Linked DNA regions of Drosophila melanogaster. The protein of the gene in region 1 purifies or fractionates together with the protein of each later gene. This does not show direct contact. Each region holds a gene or a part of one and is shown on either strand. Other genes may lie near its edges.

Evidence for each region.
Region 2: the proteins of Mapmodulin (region 1) and AhcyL1 purify together in Drosophila melanogaster (affinity purification with mass spectrometry, with the first as the bait; one large-scale study listed by BioGRID). This does not show direct contact.
Region 3: the proteins of Mapmodulin (region 1) and CG8745 purify together in Drosophila melanogaster (affinity purification with mass spectrometry, with the first as the bait; one large-scale study listed by BioGRID). This does not show direct contact.

The regions. Positions count from the first base shown.
Region 1 is NT_033778.4:17,865,978-17,873,985, forward strand, and holds Mapmodulin (mapmodulin), read right to left. Parts: upstream 6,039-8,008; 5' UTR 5,928-6,038; intron 5,685-5,927; 5' UTR 5,400-5,684; coding exon 5,352-5,399; intron 3,881-5,351; exon of another isoform or gene 3,050-3,880; intron 2,832-3,049; coding exon 2,455-2,831; intron 2,393-2,454; coding exon 2,310-2,392; intron 2,112-2,309; coding exon 1,806-2,111; intron 1,583-1,805; coding exon 1,349-1,582; intron 1,277-1,348; coding exon 1,233-1,276; 3' UTR 342-1,232; downstream 1-341. UniProt on the Drosophila melanogaster protein: Implicated in a number of cellular processes, including proliferation, differentiation, caspase-dependent and caspase-independent apoptosis, suppression of transformation (tumor suppressor), inhibition of protein phosphatase 2A, regulation of mRNA trafficking and stability, and inhibition of acetyltransferases as part of the INHAT (inhibitor of histone acetyltransferases) complex.
Region 2 is NT_037436.4:2,767,922-2,774,181, forward strand, and holds AhcyL1 (adenosylhomocysteinase like 1), read right to left. Parts: upstream 4,405-6,260; 5' UTR 3,869-4,404; coding exon 3,347-3,868; intron 2,571-3,346; coding exon 2,121-2,570; intron 2,057-2,120; coding exon 1,463-2,056; 3' UTR 545-1,462; downstream 1-544. Other genes in the region: Non2 (putative nucleolar protein 2), read left to right, coding at 1-81; CG12093 (uncharacterized protein), read right to left, coding at 4,687-5,125, 5,184-5,383, 5,478-5,981. UniProt on the Drosophila melanogaster protein: Might play a role in the regulation of methionine metabolism possibly by binding and inactivating Ahcy.
Region 3 is NT_037436.4:13,860,816-13,868,650, forward strand, and holds the start of CG8745 (uncharacterized protein), read right to left. Parts: upstream 6,091-7,835; 5' UTR 5,877-6,090; coding exon 5,788-5,876; intron 4,621-5,787; coding exon 4,502-4,620; intron 1,339-4,501; coding exon 1,104-1,338; intron 984-1,103; coding exon 1-983.

The DNA.
Region 1 (8,008 bases):
TCGATATCTCTAGTTTTCATATCAGAACACAAATACTACAAATTCTTGTGGAAAATACTAAACTTCCATGCTCATTTCCGATAACGATACAATTTGTTGCTTTATTGATATCGAGATTTAAATAAAAAAAAATACGCTCATATGCGTAAGCTCTTCTCTTTAATAGAAATCATTTTCCCATTTTCCCCCGTAAAAGACAATTTTAAAATGATGTAGTTTATGTATTTCAGTTTCAATGGGCTGGTAAAGACACATCTCATCTCGTTAAATTAACGCGGGGCCTGCTTTAATAATAATCGGTTAATTACTTGTGTATTAAATGAAAAGTCTTGTCTAAAATTGTTTTGTGTATAAGATTTACTCGCCACATTTAATGAAAACACTACTGCCAATGAATAAGTGGAAACATTTCGGTATGTGGTAAAAGTACACTTAAAAGTATATAAAGGTAAACAATTCGGGTTGCTCAAAAGTGAGTGCTCTACGTTTACAGAATGACGCGGAGATAAAGTTTGTGTATCTGGGAGGTGGGTGATGGGTAACAATGTAAGTGTGTTTAAATCGCCTTGAGCAGAAAGTGGGCGAAGTAGGATGCTTAACTTATGCGTATTTAAAGAAGGAATGACTTAAGAGTTAGTTAAAAGTTCTTAGCAGTAAATTGTGTGATCGTTTTCACGCGAAACGTTGACAAATCCGCAGTTGTTCAAATAACGCCGGAAAGCTATTGTTTGATTTTCGTGACTGATTGAAATTTGAAAACAAGATGCTGCTGGATGGCTAAAAATTGTACACGTTGTAATTGTGTAATCTTTAACATAGTGATTTGGATTTCATGTTGCGAATCCTGAAGATGGCGAAGGTGTTTAAAATGAAACTGGAACTTGGGCTCGGATGAGGCTATACTAATGCGACTTGCTTAATTGGTTGTTTGCTTGGTTTCCTTTGCATTCCTCCTCGATTTTTCTCGCTTAAACATGTATTTTTTTCTTGTTTAGCTTTGTTTGATTATTACGTTCATTATGCTCCTCTTTGTTTGGGTTGTTTGTTGTTTTTTCTTTTTGTCGATTTCTTCTTTCATTAGCTTACATTTTAGAGAAACAAATTGTGGGTTTCCTAAAGGATTTATCATCTTTTTCTATCAAAATATGATGTGTGTGTGTGTTTTTGTTTTGTGTGTGGGTGTATATTTAAATTTATAACGTACAAAGACGCTATACCGACAGATCAGGGTTTTAACCATCATGCTTTCTCTTCTTGCCTCTGACTTGCGACTCGTCTGGAAAGAAAAAAAGGAAAATATATGGCATTAAGAACTAATGCTGTCTGGGATATAAATAATTGAACTTACCTGCTTCCTTTTCGCCATCCTTGTCCTTGGCATTCACTGATGCAGCCGATTCGTTTGCATCACCATCGGCATCATCAATATCGGAATCCTCTTCCTCGTCCTCCTCGCCAGCCTCGTCTTCGCCTTCCCAATCAGAGTTATCCTCTTCCAAATCGTCATTGTACACCTCCGACAGGGACACTTCACCATTCGCCTCTTCGTCGCTATCATCGCTGTCGTCATCTTCGTCGGAAACTGAAAAATCAAAGGTAAATTTGATTAAACCAACTTGCTTGTTTGTACATCTCGAACTTCCCTAAATCGATTTTTTAATGTGTTCAACGGAATTGAGATCAACAAACCTACGAACTACTATAACGCTTCTTGTGGGTAAGAGAATCTTTACTTTTTCTGCAGCATTTTCGAGTTAGAGAAGTTCGACTAATACTGAAGAAAAGTTCAGAAACGTTATGCTTACAATATGTAGCACTGCCCAAATTTAAAATGGCAAGGAACCAATACAGCAGGATTACAAAACTTAAGTTAGAATTGCTAGGAGGCTGCGGTGTGGCATTTATCACAGATTGTTCATCGGTTGAAGCATCAGTAGATTCCCTTAGCTGCAACTCTTTCAAGTATTCATCTAATTCGTCTACTTCTTTGTCCTCCGATTGGGGAGGTGGTTTGTCCTGCAAACTTTTTTTCGCCTTAACCCGCTTCTCGAAAGCCTCGAGCTCGTCTAAATCGATCTCTAAACCATTTAAACAGAATGCATTGCACTTATCTGAAAGGCGACAAAAGCCACGGTTGAGTATATGATATTATTGTTAATACGAAGAAAGCGCGATTCACAATAAGCGATTAAGTTAAACAGACGGACAATGGAATTTTAATGGTGGTTACATGGAAATCTTTTATAAAAAAAAAACTCCTGAATTCTGCGATTTAATCTTTGGTCTCTATAAATACGTCGAATACACACCTCCCACTTCGTCGGAATCGTTGCCGTTGACCTCATCATCATCATCGCCATCAGATTGCACCTCCTCGTCGTTGCAATCAAATCTGGAAGTGGTCAAGAAGTTACTTTTATTGTTCTACAATAGAAAGAAGTTACTCAAACTCACCCATCTAGGAAATTTAACGATGGCAACATCTTGAAGATCTTCTCGCGGTAATTATCCACTTGAGTAGCGTCGTTATTAAACAAATCCAGAACAACCAGATTTTTAAACTCCTCCAGGGGCTTCAGGGTTTCCAGATCCTTTATCTTGTTGCCAGACAAGTTGAGATATTGCAGTTTGGGGCTAGTGGTCAGATAGTTGAGGCCACTCGAAATCCGATTGTCGGACAGTTCGAGCTTCTTTAAATTGGGCAGCTTGGGGAAACCTTTCAGTGTGGTGAGACCCACGTTGATCAAGCTAAGCGATTCCAAGGCTGTGTATTCATCTGTAAGGCCAACGATGCTTGTACTACGGCAGTTGTCCAGATTCAGCTCTGTGATCTAGGTTATAATAGGGTTGAGAGTAAATACATAAATTAGAAGTAGTTCATTTTATTTATATGAAACGAGTTTTGAATAATTTTTAAACCAATTATTACTTATCGATATTAGTTATTGAAGACAAGAACAAACGATACCGATTATTTTGGTATATTTGATGTATTCATTGTGGAATATTCAAGCCTCGCAGTCTGGTCACATTTGTAACATTTTTTGACGCAAAGCGAACAGAAAAAAAAAATGGAGAACAATACATACGCAAAAATCGATCAAACGCTGAGAAATTTTTTTTTGTTGAAATGCAAAACGAAATTACATGCAAAATAACCAATTTGGCGTTAATGCAAATGACTTGGTAAACATTGCTGCTGCTCCATCGCCAAATTGCATATTTTTGTAATGCAGGCGACGAGGAAAAAGTGCCAACTCGCGTTTATGTAACCCCAATATATGTGTGTGTGCCACAAGCGTGTGTATGTGTGCGTGTGCTTCGACACAAAGCAGAATGCGCAAAGAGAAGAATGACGAGCAAAACGGAATTATCAAGAAGTGGAAGGGAGATGGCAGGGGAACAACAAGACTAGCCGGCACTCGCAGCAACAAAACAACAACAACATGGTTGACCGTGACGTAGTTTAGTTGTTGCGCCTGTCTGCGAATAGTGGGTGGGGGTGAGAGTGGGTGGTGTTTTGTGGTCTGATAATCTACAAATGAATAAATGTACACAACGTACGCCTTTTGGAGGCTGTGCAAGTTCACTTCAGATTACCCAATTATCAATATGTCACGACGCCACAACAAAACCAACAACAAAGAAACAAAATGGGTGCCTTCAGAGTCCGTCTGTCCGTCTCTGTCTAGCCGAGAAACAGTTATGTGCTTACAGCGGACACTTTCTAACCTGAATTATGGTTCAAATTTATTTTATTTCTAAGTGGCAAGAATCTTGGTATATCCTAAAAGAAAATTAACTGTAGCTCAACACAATTTTTAATAATTATCAACAAAATTGAATATGAAAATATAAAATTGTAAATAAAAACTGACTGCAAAACCTAATCTGTATTCGGTTTGATATACTTTGTAATATAAATAACTTATTGTTTGATGAACTTCAAAATCATGTTTTTGGTAATGGAATCAATTTAACTATGTTAAGAATCTTTTTATGGATATGGTGTAGTTTAAACAAAAAATTTAACTCTTGGAAAGGAAACAAAGTGGCACTTCCCCAAAGGTATAATTTATAAAAATTGGAAATGAAAAAAATGTTCGTATGAAATTCACGGCTAAGAATTCGGTTGTGCTCGATCTATTGATCGATCTAGTAAGCACCAAAGTGGGGAATGCAAATGATCTAAAATATAGCTAACAGTAGAGAGTGTCTACTGTATTTGAGCAAATGAGTGGAAATGAATGCACACAGCGTTTGGCTTTGACTTAGGCGCGAATGAGTGTGTATACGTTGCTATTTTTTGTCTTCTGCTGACTTCGCTGTTGTGGGGTGCATTTTGGGCGGGCAGTGGGTGGCTGGGCGGTTGGGTGACCGCTGATTGAGATTGAGTAGGCTGGCCGGCCAGCCAGAGCGCATGTTTATTAATCAGCGGCTTTGTCTTTTCGCCTGCATTTCTTTGCCACTTCGAGTGGGCGGGAGCGGGATGGCTAGAGGCGATGGCGTGCAGGTAAACACGTTAGAAGAAGAAAAGAAGAAGGGGAGCATAAAAGTATTATGACTGCGCAGTCAATATATGTATGTACATATGTATGGATGGATGTACTGATATGTATGCTATGTGTCGATTATTTTGTGCATAAGTCGTCTTACGTATGCATGTGTATCTTTTGTGCGTGGTACGCGTGTGTTTGTGCGGATGATGCGCGCGCTATAATATTGTTATAGATACAATTTGGTATCAAATAACCTGAAATTACAACATGCAGTCAAACACACGTACACACAAACACATGTTGCCCGTGTTTGTCACAATTGAAGGCCGGCAATAACCACAACAACAACTACGACGAGAACAGCAGCAGCAAGAACAACAAGCGAGGAGCATTGCCAGCTGTGGAGATAATACAATTCCAAGTGCTCTAGCTCGTCTGGCCCGAAAAGATCGCTTTCCATCAGCCATGCAGTAAAATCACTCAGGGACTTGCAATTAAATACGTAATAGCTTGTAAACGAATTCAAAACCTGCATTCTAAAGGAGCAAACAGCAGGCAAGGCGCAAAAATGCGCGCACATGGCAACACTGGCGTCACATGCATACAAACACGCACGCACACAGAGGCATGTGTGTAGAATTTGCTTATGGCGATCAATTTCTTTTCTTTTTTTCGTTTTTCTTGTTGATGCCGCTTTGCTGCTTCTTCCGTAGCACTTTTTGTATGTCGTCTATGAACAAATTGAAACTAGATTTACATGATAATGCACACACACACGAAAGCGTCACTTAATTTGGACCTCAATTTAAGTTTGTGGCGCGTGTTTTTTTTCATCGTTTGTATTTAGCTTACCTGATTTACTTTGCGTGCGCGTCTTTCCAGTTCTATTCTCTTCTCCATTGCAGCGGCACTTGTTTGTTTTGGATGTTCTTTTTGGTTACGCTTTTTTCCTTAGCGGATTCCTTGTATTTTTGTGTGTTTTTCTTCCTTTGGGCTCCACACGAGAAACAGCGCACGCACTGAAGGCAAAAGACTCGCACTCGCCAACACACACACGCACACAGAGCAACACACGCGCGCTCGCACACGCTCACTAACACAGACGCAGCCTTGCAAATTTTTCTTTTTGTGCTTCTTTCGGTATTTTCGATGCCGCCACCGTTTGGTTTTCGCAGATTTTTATGGCTAAAAAGGGAGATGGGTGGAGAGTGGGTGGGGGAGGTAGAAAATTAATTAGTTACTGGTAATTATTGAAACACAAAAAATAAAGTGCACAACTGCAACTGCTGCATTGTAACGCATTTTCTTCGATTCCAGCACATGACGCGCCTTTTTAAACCGACTTTTGGACATCAATTCGATGGTTGAATGGACTGTGAATCCTTTTTCCGGCCGAAAAATATGCCAATGCTGGCAACACGCACTCACCTGGCGATGCAGAATATTTAAATACTTCAGAATCAATTTTTAATTGTATTTTCAACCAAAGCAAAACGCTAGAGCTGGCACTTCAGTTGATGATTGTTCGATACCTCCTATACTATCCCCTGCATATATCGATTGATTTTGTCTAGTAGTGATGGCAATTTGGGTTGAGAGAGCGAACTAGCTTGGAAGGTAGTGGGTACCTGCTACGATAGGTGCATGTATTCGCTAAAGTGCGACCGTTAGATGCTGTAATTTTGTACCAGTCTGCTTTTTGAGCGCCAAATTCAAATGTATTTAATTTAAGAACTTCCTTCTGCACTAAAACCAAAATAGTATACCACTATTTAATTTGTAATAAGCACACGTTAAAGCGCTTATCACGGACGGGAGCGTTAATCACATTTCAAAATACCTATTAAGACTAAATGACGCCGTTAGCAATAATGCGGCATAATCAGAAGCGCGTGCATCCGTCGGTAATGCGATGCTGCAAGACAGGGTCGCTGAATCGAGGATATATAGGATTACCGTTTCGAAGGACGAACGCCTTAATTAGCCCTGCGAAAAGCGCGAAAAATAACAGAACAAAGCAGCATAAGCTTGCTTATTTTACGCTGCGAAGTCAACGAACGCCTTTCGAGGAAGTAAAGCGTTAACCGTCTGTTGACATGGCCCCTTAGCTTTTCCCAACAAGCAACCATGTGTATGTATGGGTACACAGGATTGAACAAAATGGCCGCAAGGACGCAAAGTTGCCGTCGTGTCCGTGAACTTGGCGTAGCTTTAAATGATGTAAACGATTCAATTTGATTTCCTCGCCTCGTTTACCTGCCGCTCTTTATTCCTGATAATTTTAATGTGAGCTTAATGCGGCCGCGCAGCATACGAAAACATTCAGGTATTCAGGTAATTGTTTTTGCAGTATCAAAGAAGAAAAATTACTTCAGCCGCACACAGTGGGAAAAATATTATCTGTTTCGAACATTGAGGGAATATTCTATTGCAAATGAATTCTTTAGTAGTTTATCGCACTTGTATGTAATTACAATTATAACATAATGCTGTGTAAACTGCGTTTTTTTTTTGTTATTTTCCTACGTGCCAGCTTGGGCTTGCGTATCAATTAGTCGTCCTTCTGGCTGGGCAAATTTGCCAAACGTGTGTCCTCGCTCCACTTGGGGATACTAATAACAAGGTGGGAACGGGTTGCGGGTGTCGGTCAGGTTGTTAGCATTATCTGCAGATCGGGTGCACAGGTCCTTGAGCGGCATCATCGGTTGCACCATTCGAAGTGCCCCTGAAGAGCCGTCGCTTGGCTCTAATCTATTAAAAGCGCGTTAATTCTGCGAGTGTGCCGTCTATTTGCGGTCTCCAAATAGCAGCAAGTGCCACGATGAGCTTTTCTTTCAGCCACAGAATTTGTGTACTTGTGTGCCATTGGTAACTGTTGCTTTGGTAAACATCAGCTTTAATGGCTTTGTGCTGGGTTCAAATAAACGGAATGGAAAACAAATTTCGAGAGATTATGGTTGACTTCGAGGGTGTGGATGGTATCTGTTATTACCACTTTGAACATTACTTTTTTAGCCCCCTTTTTCAACAATATAATGTTGGGCAAAAGGTTAAAGTTATTTTAAACAATTATTTTTGTTTCTTTTTCTAGTGACAAATTTTAGATATAAGTATGTATTCAAATTAAAATTACTTACCACCTTCATTTCCGTGCACTTATTAATGCCATTTTGAATGACTTATTTTAAGGCCCATTAACAGGAACTAACTACTGTTTACTGCCATCTGAATGGGTACTAATTAACTAAGTAAAGCACGGCGATGCCGTCGACGATGGACTCTCTTTTGTGCTCTCTTTCTGGCCAAAAGACACGCACACACATTCGCACATCCAGGAGACCAATCAACAGTTTGCCGTGGTGCGAGGAAAAGCTCTCGGAAAAGCTCGGGAAAAAAGAGATGCTGCGACGTCGACAGAGGCGAAAAGCAGCAGCCACAAGTTGCCTTTTCGACATTTGCAACAGTTGCTGTTGAGTGGCTTCGAAAGTCGGACGTGGCGAAAGGTATAG
Region 2 (6,260 bases), on another chromosome or scaffold:
GAGCTGATGAAGGTGATGAAGATCCGCCGCTTCCGCACCTTTGGCATGCTGAAGCATCTCAAGCCGCACTTTCTCGATTAGATCAGATCCGCCCTCCGATCCTCTCCAGATGCAAATATATGTGTATGCCTCTCCGCCAGCCTGGTTTACCAATCCCCTGTAACTTTCGGCTCCGCCTGGATTTGTTTGTTCCACAACCTTTGATTAAGATTTAGTTGACGCATGTGTTTAGCATTACCCTAATTAGGACGGGTTTGCACATTATGCACTTTACGGCATTTTAGGAATAGTTCAGATGAACGGAAAATTACAAAAAAAAAATCGATTATAATACATAATGTGTATGATTTTTTTTATGACAAACTCGTGTAGTTTACATTTTATAAAATATCAAAGAAAAACATAACAAGTTTAAGGCAAGTACCGAGTAATAAAAAGAGAAATAGACGAGTGATGCATCTGAAAAATACGAAAGCAACTTTTCCTGGTTTTCATTTCGACGGGGCTGCTGGGGGAGAAATCAATCAGTGGAACAGATCTAATTGCTCAATAAAGAATCCCTTTTTTATTGTTTTGCGTTTCTCACAAATTTCTTACAAACATTTTTCACTTTTTCTAATATACATATTAGGTGTATATGCAGTGTATATATATATATAATTCTCGATCTGATATATATGCCAGCGTGTATATAATTGAATAAATGGAATACCTTGCACTGCTGTTCCATTAACGCTCTCGGGACGAAACGAAAGTACAAAAGTATAATCATAATCATAAGCGGGGGCCATAAACATTAACAAATTAAGTACGTAAACAATACGAGAGGTTAAATCGATCACTTATTGCCCAGCTGTCGTAGCTCAAAAAAGGGATTAGTCAGGAAAGTCGTTAACATTAAAATGTACATGGATTTCACGCGAAAAAGTTATAGAAATGTAATGCAAATATGCTAGAAACCATTATACAAGTCAATTCCCATTAAATATATTATCAATTCCGAATTAGAAGTATACATTTAGAGAACTAATCGCGTCTTTTGAGCTACTGCAGTCTGATTGACAGGCGTTCGAAGTATTTAAAATAAATTCAAGTAACTGGCTACAAAAAATGTTGATGGGGATAAATTCTTGGGGCAAGATTAGTTTTGGGGATTAGAGAGTCATGTTGGATAGGTGAACGGAGAGAATACTCCTGCGGCTAAAGCGAGTGCTAAATACTATGTCGAAGACTTTAAATGCTAACGAAAAGCAACCAAGAATTCCGCTCGAGCTAAACTAAGCAATACAATGGTAATAGTAACTTTGTGTTCTCCTTTCCGTATCCTTTTGTGTTTTCCGTGTGTGTGTGTGTCAACAATTGTTTTAAATAGTTTTACTTCTTCGCAAAGACAATACTTTCGTTGGCGTTGTTGTTTCTTCTAATTGCTGGTGTTATTGTCCGCATCCGCCCGCCTTGCGTCCTAGTAGCGGTAGTAGTTGGGCTTGAAAGGACCGGCCTTGTTCAGTCCCATGTACTTGGCCTGCTCGTCGCTCAGCTCCGTCAAATGGGCATCGAAGGTGGGCAGGTGCAGGCTGGCAACATACTCGTCCATCTTCTTGGGCAGCAAGTAGACATCCGACTTGTAGCGTCCGGGCGGGGCATTGAAAAGCTCGATCAGGGCCAGGGCCTGGGTGGCCGAGGTGATAGACACGGCGAACGAGGGGATGCTGGAGCAGCTCAGATTGACCAGCCTGCCCTCGGCCAGAAGAATGATGTACTTGCCCTCCGGCCAGATAATGTGATCCACCTGGGAGCGCACCTTCTCCCAGGTCAAGTCCGGTGTGCGCAGGCCATTCACATCGATTTCCGTGTTCGAGTGGCCCATGTTGCATACGATGCAGCCACTCTTCATCTTGTCCATGTGCTCGCGCACCACCACGTTCTTGTTGCCGGTCGCCGTCACCACAATGTCTACGTTGCGGATCACCTCGTTCAGCTTGACCACACGGAAGCCATCCATACTGGCCTGCAGGGCGCAAATGGGATCGATCTCTGTGATGTACACAATGCAGCCCTACGATTGGAGATTGAAAAGGTGACAAAGGTATATCATACTAATGGTTGTGGGTGCCATTTACCTGCCCCTTTAGAGCCTGAGCACATCCCTTGCCCACATCGCCGTAGCCACAGACCACGACCTGCTTGCCACCGAACATCACGTCCGTGGAGCGCTTGAGGCTGTCCAGGATGGATTCCTTGCAGCTGTAGAGGTTGTCAAATTTGGTCTTTGTCACCGAATCGTTGACATTCATCGCCGGCACTGTCAGCTTGCCGGCCTTAGAGAGCTGATAGAGACGGTGCACTCCGGTGACGCTCTCCTCGACGATTCCCTTGACCAACTTGAACATGGTCGGGTACTTTTTTAGCATCAAGTGCGTGGCATCGCCGCCATCGTCCAGGATCATGTTTGGCTGCCAGTTCTCGGCGTTAACGCAGCGATCTATGCACCACCAGAAGTCCTCTTCCGTCTCGCCGCGCCAGGCAAAGATCGGGATTCCGGATTCGGCCAAAGCAGCAGCCACTTCGTTCTAAAAATAATAAGCAACGATATTGAGTTGTTTTAATAATGACAGTCCTTGAAGGCTAATAAAATGATTGTCAAACAGGTAAAACCCTCGAGAGTTGGCCTGATAAATCGAGTCACCCTAATGCGGCGTAAACATTTGCTAATATCTGACTTATATCGAGCTGATAACGCATCGGGCTCCATTCTCGCTAAGCACGGCACTCGTAGCTTGGCTGATAAGTCCCAGCCGATACAGGTGAATCAGCGTGACAGGCTGTCGGGGGCCGTGGGCGATAAAAGCTGGCACGGATGGGTGCATAAATGATCGGGGAAGGGCGCTCGCCCTCGCACTCGCATCGCTTCATTAGAGAAGCCATAAATTGTTTAGCGTCAGCAGACTCGTGATAATTGCATCAGCCACGCCGCAGGAATAGGCAAACAGATCGAGTAACCGCAGCCGATCCAATGCTGGAACTAAAACTGCGTCCGTAACTTCCACTCCCAATGGTATGGCGACCCAATTCAGGGCACATCAATTACTCAGCGATTGCCAAACACTTGAGCCGCGGGCGCTTAATTGATTAACATGGCTTGATTGATCATTTGTTTGCGTCGCCTGGCGTGACAACAATTGTCTCCAAGCGACCGAGCAGATCAAGTGACCGAGCACGCATATGCATATGAATTTAAATAAATATAGGAAAATGAGTTAAGATATCTCTTAAGAGATTCCATTAAATGCATTAAGCAGCCTATGAATACGTAAGAACCCTATGACATTTTCATACGACATCTCACCTGCGTGGAGTAGATGTTGCAGGCGGCCCAGCGCACGCTGGCGCCCAGTTCCACCAGCGTCTCGATGAGCACGGCAGTCTGGGCGTTGATGTGTGTGCAACCCACGATCTTGGCATCCTTCAGAGGCTTGTCCTCGGCCGCCCGCTTCTTCAGCGCTATGATGCCCGGCATCTCCTGCTCCGCAATCTCGATCTCCCTGCGCCCAAATGCATGCTGGGCGCCTATGTTCCTTACACAGAAATCGGAGCTGCCTTTGGAGTTCTTTTGGACCTTCTCCCTGGGCGGCACGTCGTCGCCATCCTCGCTGCTGCCCGTGTAGCTGGCGGAGCTGAAGGAATCCGTTGAGGAGGCACTAAGCGAGCGGCTCCTGTACCGACTTGTCTTCTTCAGAGCCGAGGACTGCTTGGTGGCCGGCGGAGGAACCACCACGCTGGCATCCTGCGGCGCCGGTCCAGCCTGCTGCTGCTTGTCGCCGCCTCCGAATCCAGGATCAACTACCACAGTGTCTGCCAGGTTGTTCATGGTGGAAGTAGAGGGTAATCTGGGGATTTCCTTACTATCCCTTAAATTGGCTCCTTGCTCTAGCTCCTAGTGTTCCACCTTCTGCGACTCCAGAGCTTGCAATCCTTTTCCGCTGCTCCTTTGAATGGGCGCCTTGGATGTTATGTAAAGTCTGAAATCCAAGCAGGATGCGCTGCAAATGGCTAGTGGTGTGGCCTGGGTCTATACGAACTGCACAATCACGTGATTTATCGACGTTGTGGAGACCACAAATTGCTAAATTAATTGTTTTTAGTGCGAGTCTCCTTTGTTTCACCTCTCCACTATTGTTTTTGTTCTTCTTCTTCTTTTGCGAATGGGGGGCTACACTTTGGATCCGGGGCTTGATGGGAGTTTCCGGAGAGGGGATGATGATGCAGCCGTCGGCTTTCGGGCGACGTTGTTTGTGTGGCGACCAAGTGGGGGATCGTTTGGCGATCGCTTATTGAATTTGATTTTATCCGGAGAAAAGAGAACTAAACCGAACCGAGGACAGTAAGCGAGACACGCGAAAATACCAAAAGCAGAAGGCGTTAGTGCTATTCTGCAAGTGTGGTAAGTTCCCACTGAAGAAAGGCCAAAGTAACGACTTTTTAACTGAAATCGTCTAAAAATTAATTTTTATAATTTCTTACCATTAATTATGTGTTTATTTTTTAATGAGCAAAGTAAATAAAGTGTGATTTACAACTCCTCAGCTGCAAGTCTTTTAAATCTGGTAGCTGGATAATTTAATGAGTCAAAAAGAAATTGGCAAAGTATTCGAGGTTTATTAAAAACAAATAGTTAACACATTTGGCCTACATATCCTCCTGTAGGTAGCCGCACAGCTCGTAGTCGTCCGCCGTGTTGACCAAGTGCGCTTCCCTAAGAAGGCCCTCCTTGTAGGTCTGTCTCTTGACAATCAAACGCGACAATTCCTCCGGTGCAAGTGGTCCTTGCTTGGCGTGTTTCTGGATGAAGTCCGCCGCCAGTTGTCGATCCACGACGGACATCTCGAGGCTGCGACTCCAGGCGAGCAGGGCCAGCGGTCGCTGCGGACTCAGAGCCAGCGAGGGTGACACCAGATGGCGATACAGACAGCCACCCACGATGTCTTGCAGCTGCTTCACTTGGCCGGGAAAAGCGCAGGGATGGTAGAGCATTACGATGGCACCTTCCGCCAGATTACGCACGTATCGCTGAGGAGGCAAGTAGGAATAGGTGCCATATTCAGCGGGCATCGGGCGATAGGGGCCACTGATAATACAGATTTGAATTTGAAATTAGCAGGAAACTATAATATTGTTCGCCTTACTTGGTGGCAGGCAGATGGGAGTAGCTAATGGACTCATTAAGGCACTTGGCAGGCGGCAGATAGGCGCTAGGTAGAAAGTGCTCCGTAAGAATGGCTTCTCTGGACAAATCCGGTTGGTACAAGCTGTGATTACTACTGATGCATAGGAAATTCAGGCTGTCACGGATGTCGTTTGGATCGAAGTCCACGGCAAGATTGCTCTGAAAATTGTTAATAACAATGATAGAAAAAGATGACTAATACTAAGCATTCATCGGTATTTAGGGGAAGTATTAGTTATATTGCCAAACTCACCTTGCCATCATCACAGCTGCTTTGTTTAGTCTTGTGCGATTCATTGGGACCCTGCGGAAACAATTTACCCTGCCAAGTATCCTGTGTGGTGGACTTCCCCGACTTGGTTTTGTTATCGACCAGCGGTTTTTTCTTCACCAAGTGCGGCTCTCCGGGAGCTTGTGGAAACCACTTGCCCTGCCAGCCATCCTTGGTTGTGAACTCCAGCGGAGGAACTTCCTCCGTGGTGCTCTTCATTTTTAATTCAATCGCTTCCTGCTGTTGTCCAGGGGCATGGGGAAACCACTTGCCCTGCCAGCCATTCTTGCCGGGCGTCGCACCTAATGGAACCTGCACACGTTGCACATCATTGGAAATGTCGGGTGGGGACTTCCCAATCTTCCCTAGCTTCTCATCAGGATCAAGAGTTGGCTCCAACAGATTGGCCTGCGACTTCTTGATGGATTTCGCATCGATGAGGGCGAACCCAAGGCACAAGAGGGTCAAGTAATGCCAAATAAACATAATAATTGCAAGCAAAAGAAAAACAAAAGCGCAAAATAAGCAAACAAAAATATAATTAAGAACTTGGCAAAACAGCTGTGGAGCTGCGTTTTTCAACACTGGTCAAAGCATGACTTTGTTGCAGGGTAGCAACAGGTTGTTTGGAGTTTGCATAAATCTCCGATGATAATTATGTGTTGTTTTAATAACTAAATTAAAATTATTTACGCCAAATTAAAGTAAATAAAGTTAATTTAAAATGACTACTTAAATCAAGCAGATTTAAAAGGAAATCAATGT
Region 3 (7,835 bases), on another chromosome or scaffold:
TCTCAGTGGCTGTTGCAATGACACCACTGGTAGCAGCCATGGCGGCTGATGTGGCACTGGCCAGCCGCTCCTGCATCACGGCGGTCAAGCACTCCCGGAATCCCAGCAGGAATTCATCTGCATTCTCCCGGTTGAAGCACATGGGTGGCTTTAGCTTGATCACGTTATCGTTGGGACCGTCGGAGGAAACGAGCACCCGGTGGAGCTGCTTCATCCGGTTGACCACCCAGTGGGCAGCCTTCTTGTCGGGAATACGCTCCTTCCGATCCTGGACCAGCTCTATGCCCACGAAGAGTCCAGCGCCTCGCACATCGCCAATGCACTCGAATTCTTGCTTCAGACGATTGCACTCCTCCAAAAGATAATCGCCCAAAACAAGAGCCTTCTGTTGCAGACCCTCCTCCTCGATAACGCGCATCACTGCATTGGCGATCGCACAGGAGACCGGATTGCCGCCATAAGTGTTAAAGTAAGCAACTCCGGTGGCATGGAAGGCCTGAGCGATTTCCGGAGTGGTAACTACCGCACCCACCGGATGTCCATTGCCCATGGGCTTGGCCACACACACAATATCGGGGATTACGTTTTGGGTCTCGAATGCCCAATAGTGGCTGCCCACGCGTCCAAATCCCACCTGAACCTCGTCAGCAATGCAAACGCCTCCGGCAGAGCGTACCGCATCGTAGACTGCCTGGAAGTATCCGGCTGGTGGCAAAATCTGTCCACCGCAACTCTGCAGACTCTCGGCAATGAAGGCGGCGACGCCCTGTCCTTTGGCCAACTGCTTCTGGCAGATCTCCTCGATGGGCTGAGCATACAGGGCACCCATGTCAGCATCCGGATACATCTTGTCCGTAAACTTTCCGCCATAAACGTCCGGGCACGGCGCCACATGCACGTAGTCGGGCTTGGCCTCGCCGCCGGGCTGGTTAAATTTGTATGGAGACACCTCCATCACCGACTGCAGATGACCATGATAGGCACTGTAACGAAATAAAAGAAATTAGCATATTTTTCCATAGGTGTTCAAAATAAATATTAAGCAAGCCAAAATCATTTTTTCAAGCAAATTTAATCTCTAGAATCAAACAGAAGAAACTTACTGGTCGAGAGTGATAACATCCTGACGCTTAGTAAAGTTGCGGGCCAATCGAAGGGCCAGGTCATTGGCCTCGGATCCGGAATTGACGAAGAAGCAAACGGACAGAGGCTCCGGCATTTTGCTGGTCAACGTGCGAGCACACTGGACCAGTTCGTCGTGGAGGAAGCGGTTGTTCGTCGAGATGGTGGCCATCTGCAGGGCTCCAGCTCGCACCACCTCCGGATGGCAATGACCCACTGCAAAGATTGAGGTCAAATTTATAATTATTGTATAGTTTTTAAATAAATATATTTAAATTGTTAGCAAGTATTAATAAAAGTAAAATAGATAACCATATTGTATAACTGAATACCAGGCACCCTCTTTAACTAATCAAATTGCTAACTCACGATGGAGAAATAAACCCAAAAATAAAGCTTTCAATTAGCGCTACTGACCCAACGAGATTATTAGATCAAATTTATAGATAGATCAACCCAATAGTGATAAGCTTGTACTGAGGGTGTGGCTAAAATTAGGCAAGTCGCGCACGTGATTTTCCCCTAACCACTTGCTTGCCCGATCGTTTGTGCAGCGCTTCACATATAAGCAGGGCAATCTGCCACGATACCGAAAATAAAACGCTTTCAGACAGGCCCGGATCCATTGGGCTCGGCGTCGCCATCCGTAAGTGTATCGCTATTCCGTAGGCGCCGACGGATGGGCGATAAGCCCCGGGACCCGGACCACTCCGCTCCCGTCGACGGCGACAGATTGCGACGTTTGGGGGTCAACTACTCGTTCCGATTGCGTTTCTAATTTCGTCTCGTACTCGCATTAGAATCATTTGGACTTGGACTCACACACGCCCCCGATAAGACGTAGTGTTCTGCGAGGCAGGTATCACGTGAAGTTCACGCGATGCCTTCACGTTTCTAGTTTCCATATCAGTGGTATGAAATTAAATGGTGTATAATAGACTGACTGTTTCTGTTTCATACGCTTGCTGATTAGGTTTGGAATGATCGAAATGACCATGGGGGAATCTCTGCACTTTGGTTTTTAATTATGTCGAGGGAATAGAAGTACAGTTATGCTGGGAAAAACTAGCATTTTTAGAAACTGTTTTGAAAGAGCGTTACTAAGCATATCTCAATGTGTATTCAAATAACTTCATCACTAGCTATATTGAAAAACTTCAGTTAGGGCTCGTTCTAGATCGTATACTTTAAGTGATGAATATTATTAATATGCTCTTCATCTTCTATAATTCATAACAAGCCCACCCACTTGTTTTCCTCTTTCGCGATCAGCAAATTTTCTTAGTTTTTCGCGACATTGTCGACAATCTACAAGTGGTCGCTATGACATGCTTACACTTCCACTTGCTCTTCTCTTTATATCGCCTGTTTGTACGACTTTTCACAGCCCGCAGGCCCATGGCTCGGGGTGTTTTTCCGACTATCTGCTCAGAATTTTCCACTCGCAATGTGTGCTGAGTGGCACAGCTGATTGCTCAGATCTCGTGGGGTTGGGGCACTACGAGCACAAATATTGAAAAACTAGACTACGTACGGACATATGGGCTGCACGACTGTACGCCTTGTGTGCTCACCCCGGGGCAGCCCCGCCCCCTTTTTTCGTACTGTGCCCGACCGCCTATCTCGAGTACATTTCCACTCGCACGAGACGTTCACATGTTGCGGCCTGTTGGACACCCGGAGTGGAAAAAGTAGCACGAGATTACGAGGAACGTGGTTTCTAGTTTCATAACAACTTGTTATTCAGATCGTCAGATCGTCCACACGTGCCCCCGCCACCTTATCATGGTTATAGTGCTACATGTTTGCTTGAGGACTGATTTCACACTTTGTTATTGATGACTTATGGGCATAGCCGTAAGTTACGTGCCTCTGCACGGACCCAATATTACGTTCTGAATGTGAAAGGGCTAACTATCAGTCGTATGAAGATCGTAAGACTTGTTCCGAGGTTGATTGAGTTTTGCGATCGTCTACGAAATGTGCAACCGTCTAAGTGGGTCATTAAATGGGGGAGCACTATAAATAATCCCAATATCCATCACCAAGTTTTTGAAAGTGTTTTGATATAAAGGGACAACATCTATTGATTGATTTATTGATCAGTTGATGGTGCAAACACAATCAGTTGACTATCTCTGAACTGTAAACAGCTTTACCTTTTTGCACCCTTCGATGATAACCCTTATTGGAATATTGTTTTCGACCCTGTTGATGAGCCCCCTTAGGTGGCAATTAACCAAAAGGAAAGCTATTAATAAGCGCTACAGTCGACGTTATCAAATCTCATTGGGTTGTCAAATCTATTTCATCTATATTCAGTACATTCGCAATGCCAATGGCCTCATCTTATCAGTGCGGCAAGCGTTAATACAAAAGGAAAAACTAATTTTATAGAAGGGCAGCTTTTCAGAAATAGAAAGCCCTGAAAATAACTATTTATTACTATATATGTTTTAAGTATTATTTAAGGGCATGTAATATAACTTTACACATATAAAGTTATAATTAATAGTGATTTTAGGCTAGGAAAATTGCTGCCAACAAAACCTTGTAAATGGAAAATTTTCCGTAGCAGGAAGTGTTTTGGACAATTACAAACAAGACGCAAACAATGTGAGCTACCTAGATCCCAGAATCAGCAAATTGGCAAATTGGTTGCCGACGTCAATCTTCGTTGTTTTTTTGTTATTGTCGTTGGGCCACCGTTGTTGATAAGTTGATATGGTTTGGATGGTCTGGATTTGACTGGGACCCCCTCGGTGATATATATATACATATATATGTATGTGTACGTAATACGTATTGTATATTTTACGCAAATGCGGTCCCTGGCCATTTGTTATTATTGTGATTGTCTTGATGGCAGTGCTGTGTTAATCACTCATTCTATATCTATATATATCTAGTTGAGCACTCAACCTTGAACTTGCGTTGCCAAACGCTCCAAATAGCCGCAGTGCCACATGCACTTTGCATCCGTACATTGGCCATTTGACGGGCGTGTGCCACTGCTAATCAGCATAAACAGAAATAGGATCCGTCAACGACCAAGTGTCGACGTCCGGACGGGAGGTCCAAAATAATCGTCATCAGGCCCCGGTTCCAAAATCGCAAAACATGACCTAGCAACGTACTTAATGGCACCCCTACTTTATTATAACAATTTTTTATTGCAGAAATGGCGACGAAATTATCATTTTCTGCGCCCTACACCACCGTTTTCTTCATCTTTTCACCTAATTAACAATATTTTCGAGATGAATAATAGGATCTATTACATATAAGAGCTGGTTTTTTGATCTATTGATCTTACGCATTCTGTAGTCCTACAAATTTTTACATATTTTTCAAATTTAGTTTTGATAGATTGACTTACCGTGGGCTACATTGTTGATGCAGTCCAGATACCGGGTGCCCTCCTCATCAAACATATATTGACCTTGACCGCGCACAATTTTCAGGGGATCAGAGCGATAGAAGAGCTGGCAGGCTTGTCTGCAGAAAAAAATGCAAGTTATTAAGTAGGTTAATTAGGTGGATGGCAAAGTTGCTAGCTAAGCTAAGTGAAGTCATAAAATCCAGACAATGTAAAAGGCAAAGACGTATATGTGACGATAGTTATACTATTAACCGGGGCCTATTTCAACAGTTCACAAATATACGACAGAGTAGTGAGTAGTACTCATTATCACCAAGATAATCACTGTTCCCACTGCCGTGTTTAATGGTTATTGTGTTTGTGTTTGTTAGACAAAAACAAGGCGTCTTGCTGTGTTTGATAAACATTTTAGGGTTGACTTTAGGCAAACAAAGAGAGCGGGAACGCAGCTGCTAACAATTTAATGGGGACAAAAAATGCACTTTGATCCGAACTGCATCCTAACCATTTGAAAATCATAATTATTAGCTACTTGAATTTAGCCTGATCCATATTTAGTTTAATATGGTAAATCAATAATTGTTCGCCAATAATTTGGAAACATGAAAGTGATAAAACCGAACTGACGTATTTTGTAAAAGTTCAGAGTCATAAAAAACAGGCCCCTTTTGTTTTCGAATTTCTCGATTTATTGCTAGCAATTTGTAATTCATTTCACAAGCTACCTAGCCTTTGTTCTTTTTTAAAATATTCCACAAAATGGAAAATTTGGATTGATATTTTTCAGTCAATTTAGATTACAATATATATGTAAGCGAGAACAAATGTGAAATGTATATTGAACGTGATTATCAAGTGCGAACACTCTGCCTAGCAGGCCCTTTGAATTTATTTTTATAAAATTTCCAAATTGGTTTTATAAATATTTTTATGCAGTCAGGCGATAAAAAATCAATATGGCCCAAATCTAAAAAAGCGCCGCTGTTGCACGACTTTTTTCCTGCTTTTTTTTGTGCACTTTTTTTGTTATATTATTTCCTTGGGTGGCGGTGGCGGCTGTTGGCAACAGTGCCAAAAATACAAAAGTACAAGAAAATCGGGCGGCCAGCCGTCCAATGCGAGCGAAAGAGAGGGCTGGCGATGAGTGGGCCGAGTGGGGGATGCCGCCTGACCTTGACAGCCAGAGCGAATTCAAGGCAAGGTCGCAGGCTCACGACCCGGACCAGGGATTACGAATACGAGCGAGGATAACGGCGTAAGGACCACGAAAGGAAGCCACTTACCCGATGTGCTGGTTGCGCAGCTTGATGGTCTCCGTTTTGCTCAGCTGCTCGCTGGCCACCAGATTCAGTTGCTCGTGGGCGAAAGGCATTTTTAAGATATATTTTGATTTTATTTTGTTTTTTTTTTTAACTCAGTTATTTAAAATCGGCAGAAAAGCGCGCACTTTTAGAACTGGCAAGTGACTTGATTTAAATTAGCTTTGAGCCGTGTGTTGAGACTGGAGTCCTGGCAGGATAATCGGTGCTCCTGGACAGTCGCTGGCAGGCACGGTCGCCTTTAACGTCTTGTTTGAAATTGTTGCCGAAGCAAGTTTCGTTCTCGCTTATAAACACACACAGCGGCATATCTTGCCATCTCTCTCTGCGAATTCGAACTCGCTCGCGCCTATCGATTTGTCGATTATTCATCGCATTAGAGTCCATTTGGGCGCGATAATTTGAATTATATAGTAATGGTAAATAAATAATAGTATAAAATTGTAATAGTAAATAAATACTAGTAGAAAATTGTAATAGTAAATAAATACTAGCAGTAAATTGCAATAGTAAATAAATACTAGTAGAAAATCGTAATAGTAAATAAATACTAGTAGTAAAATGTAATAGAAAATAAAATAGTTCGAAAATAAATCTATCATGGTACTTTTAGCTAGAATTGAAAGTTACATCTTTTATCCTCCATTAATAGACGAAAGTGTAGCCAGCGAATTCGAGTTTGATGTAGTTCCTAGAATCTAAAAGTATCTTTAAGTAATAGCCCCAAACAATCCAAAGCCACGCAGATCAGCGGTCGAAAATATCTATGTCGGTTATATAAAAAAACGTTTTCTTTTTATTTTTCTTTTGTTTTTTTTTTGCTGTTTTCTTTATGTATATGTAAATACCAAGGACAATATCATTTGTTTTTCACTTTGTTGTTTGCAATAATATAATTAATAATATAATATTAAATCAGCGCTTTTTGTGTTCATTTTCATTTCAATTTATGTATACCGTTATCTTTTGCTATGCTAATGCCTTAAATTGGTTTGTATTAATTTCGATAAATACAATTATTTTATTAATGTTTCAATAAATTTTTGAATTATTCTTTAAATGTTTAACTTTATATTTGTTCATTTATAATTGTTCTTTACAATATACACAACTGAAATACTTTTATTGGAATTGTTTATCATTAAACACTAAGCACTAGTTTAGCTCGATCTTTTGCGTTTATGCCTGGTGTTTTCTTTCCTAATTGTCATTTTGAATGGGATCGGAGAACAGAATAGAATGTAGGTACGTTTTTTGGTTTTTTTTTTCCAGGGGATTTTGTCTCGCAAGCAAAGCAAATTGGCTCTAAAAAGCAATGGAACAAATATCTAGGCATATAGAACTTGTACACTATCTATAAATATATGTTCTTTGGGTATGAGAATTTTCCTATGTACGATTTCTTTTGTTTTGCATTGTTTTGTGGTTCAGTGGTTCTTACGGTGCTTCGTCCTGCGTCCTTTTCAATAGCTTTCTCGATTCAAGGATGTATGATAAAAAATATAAAAGTGAGCATTGAATGTTTCCTTCTCTCTCTATATATGTAGTATATCTAGGTATAGTACAAGTTCGTGTTGAATTGTATGTGTTATAGTGTCTATATAGCAGATACAGATATATAACCATTTCTTGTTATGTACTAGGTGGCACAGTTTGTTTTTGTTGTAGTTGGTTGTTGGTTGTTTTTGTGGTCTGGTCTGAATTCATTAAAGGTTTTTGGGCATTTGATATATATTAGTTGGGGTTCTCATAATAAGGATCAACTGAAAAGCGAGACCTGGAAATCATAAGAGTTCTTTTGTTATCCGGTAATATACACAATCATACATTTTATATGTGATATATCGATATATCTACAAATTGGATTATCTCTGGTTAAAAGTCTAGCTCAATCTTAATCGTACAACAAGTTTGCTTCGGTTGAGGCTTTGCTATTCGGTAGTTTAGCTATCCATATTGACTATAACTAACAGCTATTGCTATTTACGATACGATAGTTCCGTGGTACATGG